Kluyveromyces lactis: one gene and its partners. The protein of the gene in region 1 interacts with the protein of each later gene in a pairwise test. Links are inferred from orthologs where the notes say so. Each region holds a gene or a part of one and is shown in the gene's direction. Other genes may lie near its edges.

Region 1 (4,132 bases):
TGCATTTCTCATTCAAACGAGGAGAGTAAGTGGATGCAATTGTCCAAAAGGCCATTAAAATTGGGATAGCAAACAGTACGGCAAAGAACAAGAAGGTTTTGAGACCTCCCCCAACTTTCCTTGTTACATAGTAAGGAATACCACCGAGCAAGGAGAATAATAACCAATTGGAAAAGTGTCTGGAAGAAGGTCCCTCTGCAGGCAATGGAGCGTTCTTAATAGCTGGTGATGCTGTCGTTTTCACGCCATATTTGGAATTCACTGGTTCAGGAGTTTCCGCCGGAGGAGTCTCCTTAAACTGAATCGTTTCAAATGAATACTTACTCATCTTCCCGTGTATTCAACGCAGTGGATACTAGATTGATATCTTGCGCAATTGAATTAAACAATACTTTATGTACAAGTATCTCATACAACCATAAATTAATCAAGTAAGTAAGTACTTGAAAGGATTTTTGATTTTTGCAGTTTTATTTTGGAATGCTTTTCTTCTTCCTTTTTTCTCTGTCTGTAACGTGTATCGTTCTACTGGCTGGAATGTACAATACGCAGATATTCTGGCCAAATATAGTGATACTGAACCCGGATGAATTAGGCTATATATACACCTACGTATAAGCGGGAACCATTATGTTGTGTGATAATTGGATATAAGATTGCAGTTACTGCCAATGGACCGAGAGGGCCATAGAATGCATCTCTATTTCGAGAGGCGGTCATAAATTTATTTAGCCTATGGTATGATCAGCAGTAGCAATAGTAGTAACTACCCATACCTATAATCTTGCAGAAATATTATAAGCATCGGTACCCTTATAGCCTGAGAGCGTTGCATAATTATTTGTAAACGTTGGCAGTGCTAATGGTTGAAAAAAAACCGAAATCATATTCCTTATTTAAAACTGTGGAACGCTAAGGGCCCTCTATATAAGTCTTGTGTTGTTACAGTAATATCAATATCCATGATAACACGTCCAAACAGATTTTTTACTGCTCGTTATTTTAACAGTGGAAACCGTGCATAGCATCAAAGCTGGCAGTTCCTCCAGTACAGTGTCCGGTGTTTCCATACCTGGTACCGCGAGCATTCTTAACCCGAACACCGCATCCAAAATTATTTCTTTTTCAGATAATTTTTCATTATTTGTGAGAAGAGTGACAATTTTTTATTTGAGAAATTGGTCTAGCGATGAGATGAGATGAGATGAGATGAGAAGAGATTAGTTGAACGTTGAACAGGTTACAACTGTTGTTTATTTGCTTTCTGATATCCTGTTCTCTTTTAGACTTGAGTGAATAGGTCACCATACATTACCGAGAAGACCAAGATGGGTAAGAAGACGCAAAAGAAGAATTCCAAAGGTCGTTTAGATAAGTACTATTACCTTGCTAAGGAAAAGGGCTACAGAGCTCGTTCTTCCTTCAAAATCATTCAAATCAATGAAAAGTATGGACATTTTTTGGAGAAGTCGAAGGTCGTTATCGATTTATGTGCTGCACCAGGTTCCTGGTGTCAAGTGGCTTCCAACTTGTGTCCTGTTAACTCCTTGATTATTGGTGTCGATATTGTTCCGATGAAAACTATGCCAAACGTTATTACTTTCCAAAGTGATATCACAACGGAAGATTGTAGATCGAAATTAAGAGGGTACATGAAGACGTGGAAAGCCGACACCGTTTTACACGATGGTGCTCCAAATGTTGGTTTGAGTTGGGCTCAAGATGCCTTCACACAGTCTCATTTAACACTGCAAGCCTTAAAATTAGCCGTTGAAAATTTAGTAGTTGGTGGTACATTTGTAACGAAGATCTTCAGATCCAAAGATTACAACAAGCTAATTTGGGTATTTCAACAGCTCTTCGAAAAGGTGGAGGCAACCAAACCTCCTGCTTCCAGAAATGTTTCTGCGGAAATTTTCGTTGTCTGCAAAAATTTCAAGGCCCCTAAGAAGTTGGATCCAAGGCTATTAGACCCAAAGGAAGTCTTTGAAGAATTACCAGATGGTCCACAAAACATGGAAGCCAAGGTTTTTAATCCAGAAAAAAAGGTCAGAAAAAGAGGTGGTTACGAGGAAGGTGATTATTTGTTATACCATGAAACTGGTCTTATGGACTTTATGAAATCAGAAGACCCAATAACTATGCTTGGAGAATATAATAAATTCATCGTAGACGAAGAAGATCATGACTGGAAAATTGTGAAGAAATTAAAGCAAACCACCAAAGAATTCTTGGCATGTATCGAAGATTTAAAGGTTCTTGGTAGAAAAGATTTCAAGATGATCCTAAAATGGAGAAAAGCAGCTAGAGAACTTTTAGGCTTGGATGAAGAGGAAGAAAAACCAGAGATTGAGGAAACACCTTTGACAGAAGAAGAGCAGATTGAAAAAGAACTAAATACTCTACAGGAGAAACAAAGGTTGTCTGTTAAGCGTGAGAAGAGAAAGAAGAACGAAATGAAACAGAAGGAAATTGTTCGTATGCAATTAAATATGATCAATCCAGTAGACATTGGTATCGAAGCTGCAGAGTTAGGTAGAGAATCAATTTTCAATTTGAAAACTGCAGAAAAAACGGGTATCCTTGATAAACTTGCCAAGGGTAAGAGAAGAATGATATTTGATCAAAATGAATTAGCCATAGATAACGATATCCACATTGATGAAAATGCGCCTCTGGATGATCGTGATGAGCTCGCTGAGGCTGATGAACTAGAATCCCAACTTGATGCCATGTACAGTAACTATAAGGAACGCAAGTCAGAAAGAGATGCAAAGTTTAGAGCTAAGCAAGCCCGTGAATCCAGTGAAGCGGACAACTGGAATGGATTCGAGGACAAACAAAGTGATGAAGAGAACGAAGAAGAAACTAAGGATTATGTTGACGACGATGACAACTCGGATCTTTCAGACTCTGACGATGATGAAGCTATCAATCAGTTGATAGCAAAATTGAAAAGTAGAGAAAACAGCAGCAAGTTAAGTTCTAAAGCTCGCGCGCTATTTTCCGATTCTTTATTCGAGGGAGTTGAACCAGATTTACCTGGTAAGGCGGATCTTGCGGATTCAGAGTCTGTGGGTGATGTCAAACAACTAACAAAGAAAAGAAAATTGAATCCACTTCCTGCAGAGCAGATTTCTGAAGCCGAATCTTCCGACGAAGATAGTGATTTCGAAATCGTCGCAAACAACGAAGATGGCGATGTAGACTCTGAGTATGATTCCGAAGAAGAGGCAAAGAGGACAAAACAAGAGAAACATTCCAAAGACATTGATATTGCGACCGTTGAAGCTATGACTCTAGCTCATCAATTGGCATTAGGTCACAAAACGAAACATGATTTAATCGAAGAGGGTTTCAATAGATATTCTTTCCGTGATATGGAAAACCTGCCCGAATGGTTCGTTGAAGAAGAAAAACAACATTCCAAAATTAATAAGCCTATCACCAAAGAAGCAGCCATGGCAATAAAGGATAAACTGAAGGCTCTAAATGCCAGACCCATCAAAAAAGTTGCTGAAGCTAAAGCCAGGAAGAAGCACCGTGCTGTTGCTCGTTTAGAAAAGTTGAAGAAGAAGGCTGGTCTAATTAATGATGACAGCGATAAATCTGAAAAGGACAAGGCTGAAGAAATTGCAAAATTGATGAGAAAGGTTACCAAGAAAGCAAAGCAAAAACCGAAGGTCACAGTTGTGGTTGCAAGTGGTAAGAATAGAGGTCTTTCCGGCAGGCCTAAGGGTGTTAAGGGTAAATATAAGATGGTTGACGGTGTTTTAAAGAACGAACAAAGGGCTTTGAAACGTATCGCTAAAAAGCATCACAAAAAATAAGGAATGCTAATCATATCACTTAATCCGTGAAATGGAATTGTACATTATATTTAGTCGTAGATAGAATATTGAATAAGATCAACCTACTTCAAAAAAGTTTTCTGATCAAATACAAAACAGAAAAGAGCACCAATCCCAAGGTAAACAGCTGAATACATAAGTTATCAGATGAGTCTAGTTTCGGAAGGTTAATTGTCATTTTAGTAGAATTTAGATAGTAAAATTTGGTGTTGTCAGTGAAAAAGTGTTCATATCCGATTTTTCCAGTATAGAAGGGTGACCGTTTCGTAAGTTCAATGGAA
Region 2 (3,174 bases), on another chromosome or scaffold:
TTTATGAAATTAGGGATCGTCAATTTTATGAATTGTTGAATCATCTAGCTCAGAATGAATTGGATGCACTCAATCAAAAAGTCGGTGATTTCTCAAATTTGAAAGACATTCATTGGTCCTCTGATTTGATTACCGTACCAACAGCTAATAATGCATTCAAGAAATTCGGATGGATTAAACTCGGCAATAAGAAATTAGACGGTCTATGGAAAGTGCAATCAGGCTTAGATTTAGCGAGAAAGTATTCAGAAAACAATAGACAAGATCCCTCAGAACTATATGACACTATAATATCCGAATACAAGGATAAAACTGAAAAAACTGATGGTGATGAAACCACTACTGATAATGTCATAGTAAAACAATGGCAGAATCTAAGATCTTTGAGGCCGAAATACTTGTTTGAGTTTAATAAGGTCAGCGAAAAAACTACTCTGGCGGGGTTCGCCAATGAAGAACTCATTAGGAATGATATCGAATCTAAGAAAAGACGGCTAGCCGAAAGAATAGAGTCAAAAAAGAAGAAACATTCCGAACAAGTCGCCGAGGCTGAACAGTTTTTCAAAGACAAGGAACAAGAAAGGAAAGATCTACTTCAAGCGAAGATAAAAAGTCAAAGAGAAACTCTGGAAAATGGAAAAAATGATAAAACAACTTCGCCTGATGATCAAGATAATGATTCACTAAAGAGAAGACACGATAGTCCAGAGGCTGACGGGAATGAAGAAGAACAAGCTGTTTCGAAGAAACAAAAACTTGAGGAAGAAGTTGAAGAACCAGATGCTGACGCTGAGGCTCAAAAGGAAAAAGCGCTTGAATCTGAACCAACAGAGCTTAAAACAATAGAAAGTACAGAAACAGAAGTAGAGGTGCCGAAAGAACATGAAGGAAGCTCCCACACGGAGTAGGCTAACAATACAGTAATATTTTTTCAGACATCCGTTCAAATATATAGCATATAATTCGATTGAAGAATCATTTATTTTATCAATTACAGATGTTACTTATCAATATCACACGATTCTAGACTATTCCTCTCCTAATTGACATTCGACAGCTATCTCCTTGTCTATTATGAATCGATATCCTTTACTTTGCTTCGAAAGTGAATGTTACCCGGAGAATAATCATATTTCTTTTTTTTTATGTCAATTTTTCATTTAGACAATCCGATGCCAATAAGATGAAAAAAAAAAAAAGAGATGAGATGCGATGCGATGAGATGAATTCAAGTACACAATTAATACTCGGGGACTGGCGTATCGTTTTACTAATCCTTACCATACTATTCAGGACAATCCACCTCAAACAAACAGACAAAATAGTTAGTTATGGCGGGATCTAAGGACAGACCAGCTCAGTACAAACAATCTTCTCGTAAAGGTAAGAAGGCATGGAGAAAGAATATTGATATAAGCGATGTGGAACGCAAGCTCGAAGAGAAGCAGATCCTTGAGACTACTCATGGTAAGCAGAATTTGACAGAACTTAGCGATGATGCGCTTTTTGCGGTTGATACTGAGGGTGACCAAGTTTTAAAGCAGAAATTAGTGAAGAGGAAAGCAATCAAGAAAACTCTGAAGTCAACCGAGATTTTGGAGTCTATCAAGTCTAAATCCAAAGTGCCTGCTCTAACCAACCCAAAGACTGCTAACAAGAAACATGATAAGATCCAAGGGGTATCAAAGAAAGAACTGGACAGATTACTTGCTTTAGCTGGTAAAAAAATTGGTGAAAGTAAGTTGAAAGCAAGAGTTGCAAAAGAAGGTCTTGTGAAGTCAGGATCCCTTGATTTATGGGGCGAAGATGCTGGTAAGGAGGTTAAAGTACCATCTGGACTGAAGCTTAAGATAGCACCAGAAGAAGTAGAGAAACTTCCAAATGGATTCTTAAAACAGTCTACAACTAGTTGGTCCGTCGCAACTGTTAAGCCGGATTCCATTGCTCGCGTGCCAGAAATTGTCAAAGAAAGAGATGTCATTCCACATGCAGGAAAGTCATATAATCCAAGCAAAGAAGAATGGGAGGCTCTTATAAGTACTGAATATGAGGGTGAGCTGATAAATGAACAGCGCAGGATAGCTTTAGAACAATATAAACAACGAATTCAACACTTGATGGATACTATTGAAGATAAGGAGGAAGAGGACTCCGATTCAGAAGAAGAAAATGAATCAGAACTTGATGATAAAGACCTTTCAGAAGAGGGAGAAGAGACTAAGTTGTCTCTGAATCCAGCAACTAAGAATAAAAAGAAAACGAAATATCAGAGAAATAAACAAAGAAGACACGAAGAAAAAGTCAAACTTCAGCAAGAATTAAAGAAATTGAAGGAAAAGGTTCTCAAACTTGAAAAATTAGAGGAAATTCAGCAGGAAGTGGAATCCACCGTCCCAAATCCGGTCTCTACAGCCGGAAAAGTTAAAAAGAACAAGAAGCATAAGCTTGGTACTAAACATTCCGTCATGGAAGACAATTTAGAGGTGAAATTCTCAGATGAACTATCAGATTCATTAAGAAAATTAAGACCAGAAGGTAATCTGCTATATGACACTGTGAGAGCATTACAAAGTTCTGGTAGGGTAGAATCTCGTATCCCTATTAGAAAAGGTAGAAGATATAAACCAAGAGTCACTGAGAAATGGACTTACAAGGACTTCAAATAGATTAATTTGCTCTTTTCTTTCTATACATCATTCCGTACCATTTGTACAATAAAATACACAGACGTACCTGTGCTTTTCTTGCATAATTTATATAGAGCAAAATATTAATAGATTCATTAACTCTGTGATTATATTATATAATAGTAATGAATACAATATCCGACACTTTTACTACTGATTGAACTACACACCAAGAATAGTTCATTTGACTTGGCAGATTTAAATTTTCAAACCAATTTTTCACACCAATGTCAACTTTGCCTGTAGTTCATCTCTCTGCCTTTCCCATTCTTTTACCTTTGTTAGCTTTTGGTTTAGGGTTTCAATCTCATTTTCGATTGATAAAATAGCTTCGTCTGACCCTAATGCCTGTAGGCTCCAATCAGTTCCGTTAGTCAATTCCAATAGGTAGTCATGGTATTTTATCAAAGACGGGCGTTGAGAGATGGATATGAAGTTGAATCTGTATCTCTTCAACATGGTAAAAAGATGATCTTCCATATCAACA
Region 3 (2,973 bases), on another chromosome or scaffold:
GAAACTGTGGGTTTCCTTCTCTATACACGGGCATAACTCGATAAAATATTGTTTTCAGTTTTACTAACAACGAATTTTTCAATTCAATTTTCAATACAGGCTCAAAAGTGGTATCCAGCTGAAGAAGTCCCAGCTCCAAAGCAAACCAGAAAGGCCGCTAGACCACAAAAGTTGCGTGCCTCCTTGGTCCCAGGTACCGTCTTGATTTTGTTGGCTGGTCGTTTCAGAGGTAAGAGAGTTGTCTACTTGAAGCACTTGGAAGACAACACCTTGTTGGTTTCCGGTCCATTCAAGGTTAACGGTGTTCCATTGAGAAGAGTCAACGCTCGTTACGTCATTGCTACCTCTACCAGAGTCTCCTTGGAAGGTGTTAACACTGAAAAGTTCAACGTCGCTTACTTCTCCAGAGAAAAGTTGTCAAGAAAGCAAAGAGCTGAAGCCAACTTCTTCAACGAAGACCAACCAAAGAAGGAAATCAAGGCTGAAAGAATCGAAGACCAAAAGAACATCGATAAGGCTTTGTTGGCTGAAATCAAGAAGACCCCATTGTTGAAGCAATACTTGGCTGCTACTTTCTCTTTGAAGAACGGTGACAGACCTCACTTGTTGAAATTCTAAGAAAGCGAAAAACAATTCAAAACTTTAAGCTACTTTGTTATATAATATTAACATAACTTTTATATCTTAAGGGTGTATTAAATCCCTTTCTAGTGTTTGCAACGTCGTCATCCCCACAACCTTATTCTATAAGGACAATTGATTGTAACAATTGGTTTGAACTACTTTTGCCTAAGAGTCTCTGCTATATATTCATGACTGTTTTGCAGACACACCAGTTAACACTATAACCAACGTGTGTACCCTGTCTGACGACCCTTTCGAACGATGTATTTCAATATGTCTTGTACCCTAAGCGGAGGTCGATAAAACTCATCACGTGCAGAAAAGAAACGTCGAATCTTCTCTACATAAAGTTCGTTTCTTTTGGAAAATTTTCAGAATTTGGAATAGTTAAGGTTGTGAAAGAAATAAGAGATGGACGCCATATAAGAGAGATGAGATGAGATGAATTACATTAGGTAGAGTCTTCTTGAGTGGAAGAACCTTTTTCATAGAGGTTTAGTTCGTATATTTTTTTGTAGACATATACCCACAGATTAAGAAAACTCTCATTCTAACTGAATAGCATAACAATGTCTGACCTATTACCTTTAGCTGCTTACAATTTGAACATCGAGCCATACACTCCAACCCCGGCCATTGATGTTACCACGCCTGTTACCGTGCGTATCACCATGGCTGCTATCGATCCAGAAGCTTTGGATGATGAGAAGAACCCATCTACTTTGAGAATTATCAAGAGAAACCCAGACTACGACGATGAAGATGATGCTGGTGGTTTGTTGGGTGATTACGACGAAGATGAATTAGACATTTCCGAAGAGGAAGAAGAAGAGGAGGAAAAGTCAAAGTCTAAGAAGGGTAAGGGTAAGGGTAAGTCCAAGAAGCAAGAAGAGGAAGAGGAAGAGGAAGAGGAAGATGAAGATGAAGGCGATGAAGAACTTATCGAAATTGACACCGATGACGAATTCCAAGAATTCGTCCTAGCGACTTTGTCACCAAAGACTCAATATCAACAATCTTTGGATATTGTAATTGCTCCAGAAGAAGAAGTTCAATTCATTGTTACTGGTTCTTACCGTGTTTCTCTAACCGGTAACTATGTCAAGCACCCATTCGATGCACCAGGTTACGATGACGAAGATGACGATGAAGAAGACGATGAAAGCTACGATGAAGATGAAGACGACTATCTAACCCCGGATGAAGAAGCTGATCTGGAAGAGTTAGAAGATGCTAGCGACGTTGAAGCTAAGATCCAAGAGCTTGTCGAAAAAGAACAATCTAAGTCTAAGAAGAACAACAAGAGAAAGCAACCAGAACCAGAAGAGGAAGAGGAAGAGGAAGAGGAAGAGGAAGAGGAACAAAAGCTAGTTGAAGAAACTAAAAAGAACAAGAAGGCTAAGAAAGAAAAGAAGGTTGAATTCAAGAAAGACCTAGAAGAAGGACCAACCAAGAAAGAAGAAAAGAAGGAAGAAAAGAAAGAAAAGCCAAAGACCAAGGTGCTTGAAGGTGGTATCATCATCGAAGACCGTGTCACTGGTAAGGGTAAGGCTTGCAAGAAGGGCTCCAAGGTCGGTATGAGATACATTGGTAAGCTAAAGAATGGTAAGGTCTTTGACAAGAACACCAGCGGTAAACCATTCGTTTTCAACTTGGGCCGTGGTGAAGTCATCAAAGGTTGGGATATCGGTGTTGCCGGTATGGCCGTCGGTGGTGAACGTAGAATCGTCATCCCTGCTCCATATGCGTACGGTAAACAAGCTCTTCCAGGTATTCCAGCTAACTCCGAATTGACTTTCGACGTTAAGTTGGTCTCTTTGAAATAAATGGAAAAGGATATATAATCGGCATACATATTACTCCTTCATAAATACTTACTTTAAATCAAAAAAATAACATTCTGAAAGGTGACAGTTGACGTTCCCAATGGAGAAAATGCTCTCACTCACAAATTTCTTGGTTTTGATATCTTAGATAGGCTTACTTCTCATTTTTTATAAAATCTCAACGAACTTGAAACTAAACTAGCCCTAAAACAAACCACATTTTAAGGAGAAGGAAAGGACGAAGACACCAGAAGTTGGTCAAACAACAATAATTTACGGACATTCTGATTTACATCCTTATTGACTGCAACCTGTTAAGGCGATTAGTGAACTGAAGGTTAATTGAAAGAGACTATAACTACCGTTTTGCGTGCAATTTGTAATAATTCTATTCTGAAACAGGAAATTTTTGTGAGCTAGCCGCTGAAGATTAAAACAGCAAACAAAAACAATAAAGGAAGGGAACAAAAAACCCGCTCCAATTGTGCACATAGTTAATCTCTAACTGGAACAGTCGACGTCA
Region 4 (3,075 bases), on another chromosome or scaffold:
TTTCGACACGTGAGTGTTACCATGTTTTATTAAACTTTTTACCCATTCAGACAGGGATAACTGTATAATTGAAAGGTTCTCATCATTATCAGAAGATAAAAAATTAAATTCATCCAAGGCTTCAATTGAGTAGAACAGAAGGGACGGGGAAAACCTCAATATATTCAATTGAAATAAAATGTGAAAAAATCTCACACATACTGTAATAAGCAATAGCAATTAATTCGTGCAACTTGAAACCGTCTTCGCCAATGAAAGCTGGTGTCTTATGCAATGGGAAGTTGCTGGTGAATTCCTTATTTTCAGCAGCAGTAACATCAACAACGTTGACGTCTACCTTGAAGTACTTAGCCAAAGCTTTAGCCAAGATACTTCTTGGGGAAGGAGGCAGAACAAATAAAGTGCTTTGAGCCATTATGAAATGATATCCAACAAAAAGATGCTTCTGTATGGACGTCCTTATGACCTGAACTGAATATTGAAAATCAAACTTGAACACACACTGCACAAACAAATAATTGTGTTCTGAATCGAAGTAACAAGAATGGAAAAAATTTACTATTAATCGTACCCATAACATATTTATACAAAGTAAATGTGAGAAGTTTTGAAAAAAAAAACTGAAGAAAAAAAAAAACTTGGAAAAACATAAAAATTTTGAATAGTCATTTTTCCTTATACGGGCTATTTTAACTGTAGTGATCAAGTAAGTAATTGAAAGGCCTTTAGAGCTTCTTCTTTTCACGTAGCGGCTGGAACAAAAAGAAATTTGTTTTGGATTTTCAATTTTTGGCTTCGAGAGATGAGCCGTGGGTAATGATTGGGGGCAAGTATCATTGGCTATGAGGGCATTGTCAAATGGCTAGAAGAATGATGGTGTACATGTGGCAACAATAAAATGGTTGAAGTCTGTTACTGTACAGTACTTCTGTACATTGTATATACAGAAGTCATCTTCCGCTCGTTTTGACTAAGGTCACGTGACTTATTTAAAGTGTATTCTTTTTTTTTTGTAATTTTCCCTGTAGAAAAGAAACCTCAAAGATTCACCATACGTGATATTCTCAAAACCGTATATAGAAAATTTTCAGCTCATCGCACCGGACAGGTACAGAGACTTAACTTGTTCTTACAGCAATGTACTTATCAGTACTAAGATTCGTTTAGTAAGAAGGATATTATTTACACAGCTCAGTTGTACCAATCCACCCTGACATGAGCAATTCTCTTGAAGAACGGTTGAAATCGAATTCTAGCGCCTTTGAAGGGCTACTTTCGTTGATACCTGCGAAATATTACTACGATGACAAGACACAGGAACAATGGAATGCCAAGAAGAAGAGCAAAGGGCAATTGAAGGAGGATAAGAAATCGAAATTGGATCCTGAGCAGCAGGACGATGAATCCAGCTCTGCCCTCGAAGTTATGAAGAAGAAACAAGCTCAGGCGAAAGCTGTGGTTTTACCAGGCCAAAAGAAGATCCAACGTGAACTACTAGACGCAGAGTCTGAAACATCGTCCGAAGATGATGAAGACGAAGAGGACGAAGAAGAGGACGAGGAGGAGCAAACCGAGGAACAAGAATCTGACGAAGTACCGGAAATAAACATTTCTCAAACTTTGGGCGAATCTGAGAGTATAGCGGTGATCTTTGATGATGATGGAAACCCAGTAGATCAGAACAAACAGAAGCAAGAGAAAGAGCGTATACAGAAAAAACAGGAGGCCATCGAACGTACCAAAGATGACTCTTCTCAGAAGAAGAAGAAGATGGAAGAATTACGCTGTAAACTACAGGAGAAAATCAAAGCTTTAAAGGAGAAAAGAAAAGCCCCAGGAACCAAGGTGGAAGGTGCGCCAAGTTCAAGAGAAGCTATTCTTGCTCAAAGAAAACGTAGACAAGAGGCAAGGGCCACCAAGTTAGATTCTGAAAAAGCTGGTGATGTGTCTTCTGATGATAGCGCAGATTCTGATTCGGACTCGGATGCAGAAGATGCTCACGTTTCCAAGAAACATCGTCGCAATGGTGATGAAGAGATTTCAGCCAAAGATGTTATGTTCCAAAGTATTCAATTCAATGACGGTACAAAGGCTACATCTGATTTATCGCATGTAAGAAAGGGTGAAAGAAAAAAGGGACCTGCCAAAAAGGACGTTAAAGCTCATTTAAGACTGCTAGAGACAAAGAAACAATCATTAGAATCAAGAGATGAATTGGATCAAATTAAACTGAAAGAGAAGGAAAAATGGCAAAAAGCCATGTTGCAAGCAGAAGGTATCAGGCTTAAAGATGATGAGAAACTACTTCGCAAAGCTTTGAAGCGTAAAGAGGCTAAGAAGCGTAAGTCGACCGTCGAATGGCGTGAACGTAAACAAGTGGTAGAAAACACTGTTGCCGAAAGACAGAAGAGAAGAGAGGAAAATCTACAGATTAGAAAGGACAATAAAGGTAAGAAGAAGAGCAAACAACAGAAGATGAAGAGAAAATTCAAGGGAACTGCCCATTTGAAGAAAAGAGCAGGATTTGAAGGACGTATGAAAAGTGTCAAGAAGAAATGAGCCTTAATCAACTAATATTCTCCATCCAACAAATAAAAGCATAATATCATATTTCATCCTTTCAAGTTATAGATTAACCTTTTACTTTTACTTTTGCATCTCTATTTTTATATACTGACACCCAATGATATATAAAAATAAATATAATCAAACCCAGAATGTAATAATGCATAAAATCTCTATTACCATGTAGTCTTTAATAATGGATTTCAGAAGCCAATGTGCGGTTATTTCTTTTCATTCATTTTAAACTGCGTTCGAAAAATCATGAAAATGGTTCAGACGCAATAGTATAGATGAAATAAGGTATCTCGATGAGATGAGGTTGAAGAGGTTCACTCCAGCGAAACAAGGCAACGTTGCAGAAGAGAAAGATTCTATATTGCATAATGCTGAATGTGATAACCTGTCGAAGTCGATTAAGTTTACTCGTTACACCAAGACAACTTCGATATATACGAACCAAAAGTTTATCAAATACTATCTCCACTATAAAGAAAAATGCTGATAATGCAA
Region 5 (2,584 bases), on another chromosome or scaffold:
TCATATGCCGGTCAATTAAACGAAAGAGGTGTGTTATTCTGGTTATTCTCTGTTTCCTTCTACGTATTTATCAGTTCAATGGGTCAATTGTGTATTGCAGGTCTTCAGTATGCTGAGGCTGCAGGTAATATGGCATCATTAATGTTCACTATGTCCTTGAATTTCTGTGGTGTGTTTGGTGGTTCTGGTGTTTTGCCAGGGTTCTGGATTTTCATGTACCGTATTTCACCGCTAACTTACTTTATTGATGGTGTACTCTCAACTGGTCTTGCAAACAACCCTGTAACATGCGCAAACTATGAATACGTCAGCTTTAATCCAAGGAGTGGAGAAACCTGTGGTGAGTACATGGCGGACTATATTGACAAGAATGGTGGTTATCTACTAGATTCAAATGCTACGGAAGATTGTAATTTCTGTAAGATTTCTGAAACAAACGCATTTTTGACAAGTTTCCAATCTTCGTACCATAGAAGATGGAGAAATTTCGGTATTTTCATAGTCTTCATTGTGTTCAACTGGTGCGGTTGTGTTTTCCTATACTGGTTGGCTAGAGTTCCAAAGAAGAAGAACAGAGTGGCTGATGAGAGAGACCCAGATCATGGCAAGAAAATTGAAAATGTTCAAAAGGAAAAGGTTGAACCTCAATCCAATGAACAAGTTTAAGGATTTTTGCTTTTTGGCCAATTTTTACGTCGTTTACTTCTGTTTTTTTTTAACTATTAAACTTCATTTCTTATCGTGGGCTTGCGTTCTGCTTTAATATTTTGTTTATTCTGTATATATAGACCTGAATTGATATCTGGTTTCCCCATATATTACTATGGAAACCAAAAAAAGAAACTTCGATTGCATATAAAGTCCCAATATAACTCGATTGCAAGTACGAAAATTATTCAATTTTAGCATGGATCTCTGTTGTGGATGGTCGTTGAGGTAATCAAGATCCTTTGATGGGATATTCGTCAGCTCACCCTTCCTACAATGATTGCAGCGACGAATGTGAACTCTTTTCTTTTTATCGAAAATTAGCTTTCCAAAATTTTGAAAGTTTTTGTATTGATCAGATGAGATGAGATGAGATGAGATGAGGCTAACAAGATAGAAGTTGAATATAGTGGAACATAGCTAGTTATGTAGCTTATTCTAGGTCAAATAGCGAGGGTGCATAACAGCAAATCGGACGATACTATAATTTCAAAATGGCAGTGGATGAACTCAGAATAAAAAACAAGCAGAAGAGGCAAAAACTCTTTGCTGAGTTGAAGGATCAGCACAATAAGGAGCGTCATTCTATGAGGAGGACCAGAGCCAAGGAAGAACGTGAGAATCCGGAATTGAAGGAAAAAAGACTTGCTGAAAATGTTCCTGACACAATTGATAACCTCAGAGTTTACGATGAAACGATGGGTCAAGAAGTCGAAGGTGAAATGGATGATTTTATGAAATTTTTCAACGGTACCGAACCACCAAAGATTCTATTAACAACTAATGTAAACGCCAAAAAGAAGGCATATGAGTTCGCTAATATCCTGATCGAAGTTTTCCCTAATGTGACTTTCGTGAAGAGGAAATTTGGATACAAGCTGAAGGAAATCTCTGAATTCTGTAATAACAGGAACTATACAGATATCGTGATAATAAATGAAGATAAGAAGAAAGTAACGGGGCTTACATTTATTCATCTTCCAGAGGGGCCAACCTTTTATTTCAAAATAAGTTCTTTCGTCGAAGTCGAAAAGATCGTGGGCCATGGTAGACCAACTAGCCATATTCCAGAGTTAATCTTGAACAATTTCAACACCAGACTTGGTAAAACTGTGGGTAAACTATTCCAATCTATTTTCCCTAAGAACCCTGATTTCGAAGGTAGACAAGTGATAACGCTGCATAATCAAAGAGATTACATCTTCTTCCGCAGACACCGTTACGTTTTCAGGAACGAAGAGAAAGTAGGTCTTCAAGAACTTGGGCCCCAATTTACTATGAAACTCAAAAGACTACAAAGAGGTATCAAAGAGGAAACAGAATGGGAACACAAACCTTCAATGGACAAAGAAAAGAAGAAGTTCAATCTATGATATATTTGCATATATTTATATACAAATTCAAAGCCACCTGTGTACTAGTCCTGCACTTGGAGATTTATCAAAGATTTGACGGTATTATCATCACTACTCACGAGGCTGACGAAAAGTGGTGGCAAAATGAGAAATTCCTTGGCTTTAAAGAAAACAGGGCATTGAAACCTTTAAAGGATTTGGAATGTTTTGGGCTTAAATGAGTACAAGCCCACTGTTGAAAAGATTAATTGAAACAAACGGTTACTCTGTTGATCTGAAGAGGTGGTACACTAATTGCTCTTTAGGATTGTCATATTCTTGGTCATTATATTTGATCGATTGCAATCTAAGAAAAAGTATTTTTTCAGGCTGTTTGTTATTGTTGTTTTATTGGAAAGGAATTATTAACACGATCGATCACTGGGAAAGTAAACACTGACAGTAAAAACACTAAGCCACTTTACTCTTTTTTTTGTACACTGTTGCTATTACCTCTCTTTTGTTTTCAGCATCTTAACGTT

Evidence for each region.
Region 2: the proteins of SPB1 (region 1) and NOP53 interact in binary tests that used the Saccharomyces cerevisiae proteins (3 or more experiments, as listed by UniProt). The link is inferred for Kluyveromyces lactis from reciprocal best matches to the Saccharomyces cerevisiae genes SPB1 and NOP53.
Region 3: the proteins of SPB1 (region 1) and FPR3 interact in binary tests that used the Saccharomyces cerevisiae proteins (3 or more experiments, as listed by UniProt). The link is inferred for Kluyveromyces lactis from reciprocal best matches to the Saccharomyces cerevisiae genes SPB1 and FPR3.
Region 4: the proteins of SPB1 (region 1) and RRP14 interact in binary tests that used the Saccharomyces cerevisiae proteins (3 or more experiments, as listed by UniProt). The link is inferred for Kluyveromyces lactis from reciprocal best matches to the Saccharomyces cerevisiae genes SPB1 and RRP14.
Region 5: the proteins of SPB1 (region 1) and RPF1 interact in binary tests that used the Saccharomyces cerevisiae proteins (3 or more experiments, as listed by UniProt). The link is inferred for Kluyveromyces lactis from reciprocal best matches to the Saccharomyces cerevisiae genes SPB1 and RPF1.

The regions. Positions count from the first base shown.
Region 1 is NC_006039.1:51,860-55,991, forward strand, and holds SPB1 (27S pre-rRNA (guanosine2922-2'-O)-methyltransferase), read left to right. Parts: upstream 1-1,328; coding exon 1,329-3,830; downstream 3,831-4,132. Other genes in the region: KLLA0_C00715g (uncharacterized protein), read right to left, coding at 1-328; PBN1 (Pbn1p), read right to left, coding at 3,919-4,132. UniProt on the Saccharomyces cerevisiae protein: Required for proper assembly of pre-ribosomal particles during the biogenesis of the 60S ribosomal subunit. Specifically methylates the guanosine in position 2922 of the 25S rRNA at the stage of 27S pre-rRNA maturation.
Region 2 is NC_006042.1:1,055,261-1,058,434, reverse strand, and holds NOP53 (Nop53p), read left to right. Parts: upstream 1-1,331; coding exon 1,332-2,666; downstream 2,667-3,174. Other genes in the region: HPR1 (Hpr1p), read left to right, coding at 1-908; ATP-binding cassette long-chain fatty acid transporter PXA1, read right to left, coding at 2,907-3,174. UniProt on the Saccharomyces cerevisiae protein: Late-acting factor in the nuclear maturation of 60S ribosomal subunits, which is required for normal acquisition of export competence. Required for the export of the large subunit.
Region 3 is NC_006038.1:421,051-424,023, reverse strand, and holds FPR3 (peptidylprolyl isomerase FPR3), read left to right. Parts: upstream 1-1,193; coding exon 1,194-2,450; downstream 2,451-2,973. Other genes in the region: RPL6A (60S ribosomal protein eL6), read left to right, coding at 100-618. UniProt on the Saccharomyces cerevisiae protein: Proline isomerase that belongs to an abundant class of enzymes that catalyze the cis-trans isomerization of X-Pro peptide bonds and can accelerate the refolding of proline-containing polypeptides. Specifically binds nuclear localization sequences.
Region 4 is NC_006042.1:2,415,749-2,418,823, reverse strand, and holds RRP14 (ribosome biosynthesis protein RRP14), read left to right. Parts: upstream 1-1,215; coding exon 1,216-2,559; downstream 2,560-3,075. Other genes in the region: TEF4 (translation elongation factor EF1B gamma), read right to left, coding at 202-580; SOV1 (Sov1p), read left to right, coding at 2,949-3,075. UniProt on the Saccharomyces cerevisiae protein: Involved in ribosome biogenesis and cell polarity. Required for the synthesis of both 40S and 60S ribosomal subunits and may also play some direct role in correct positioning of the mitotic spindle during mitosis.
Region 5 is NC_006042.1:2,012,234-2,014,817, reverse strand, and holds RPF1 (rRNA-binding ribosome biosynthesis protein RPF1), read left to right. Parts: upstream 1-1,202; coding exon 1,203-2,081; downstream 2,082-2,584. Other genes in the region: KLLA0_F21692g (pleiotropic drug resistance family ABC transporter), read left to right, coding at 1-666. UniProt on the Saccharomyces cerevisiae protein: Essential protein. Required for biogenesis of the 60S ribosomal subunit.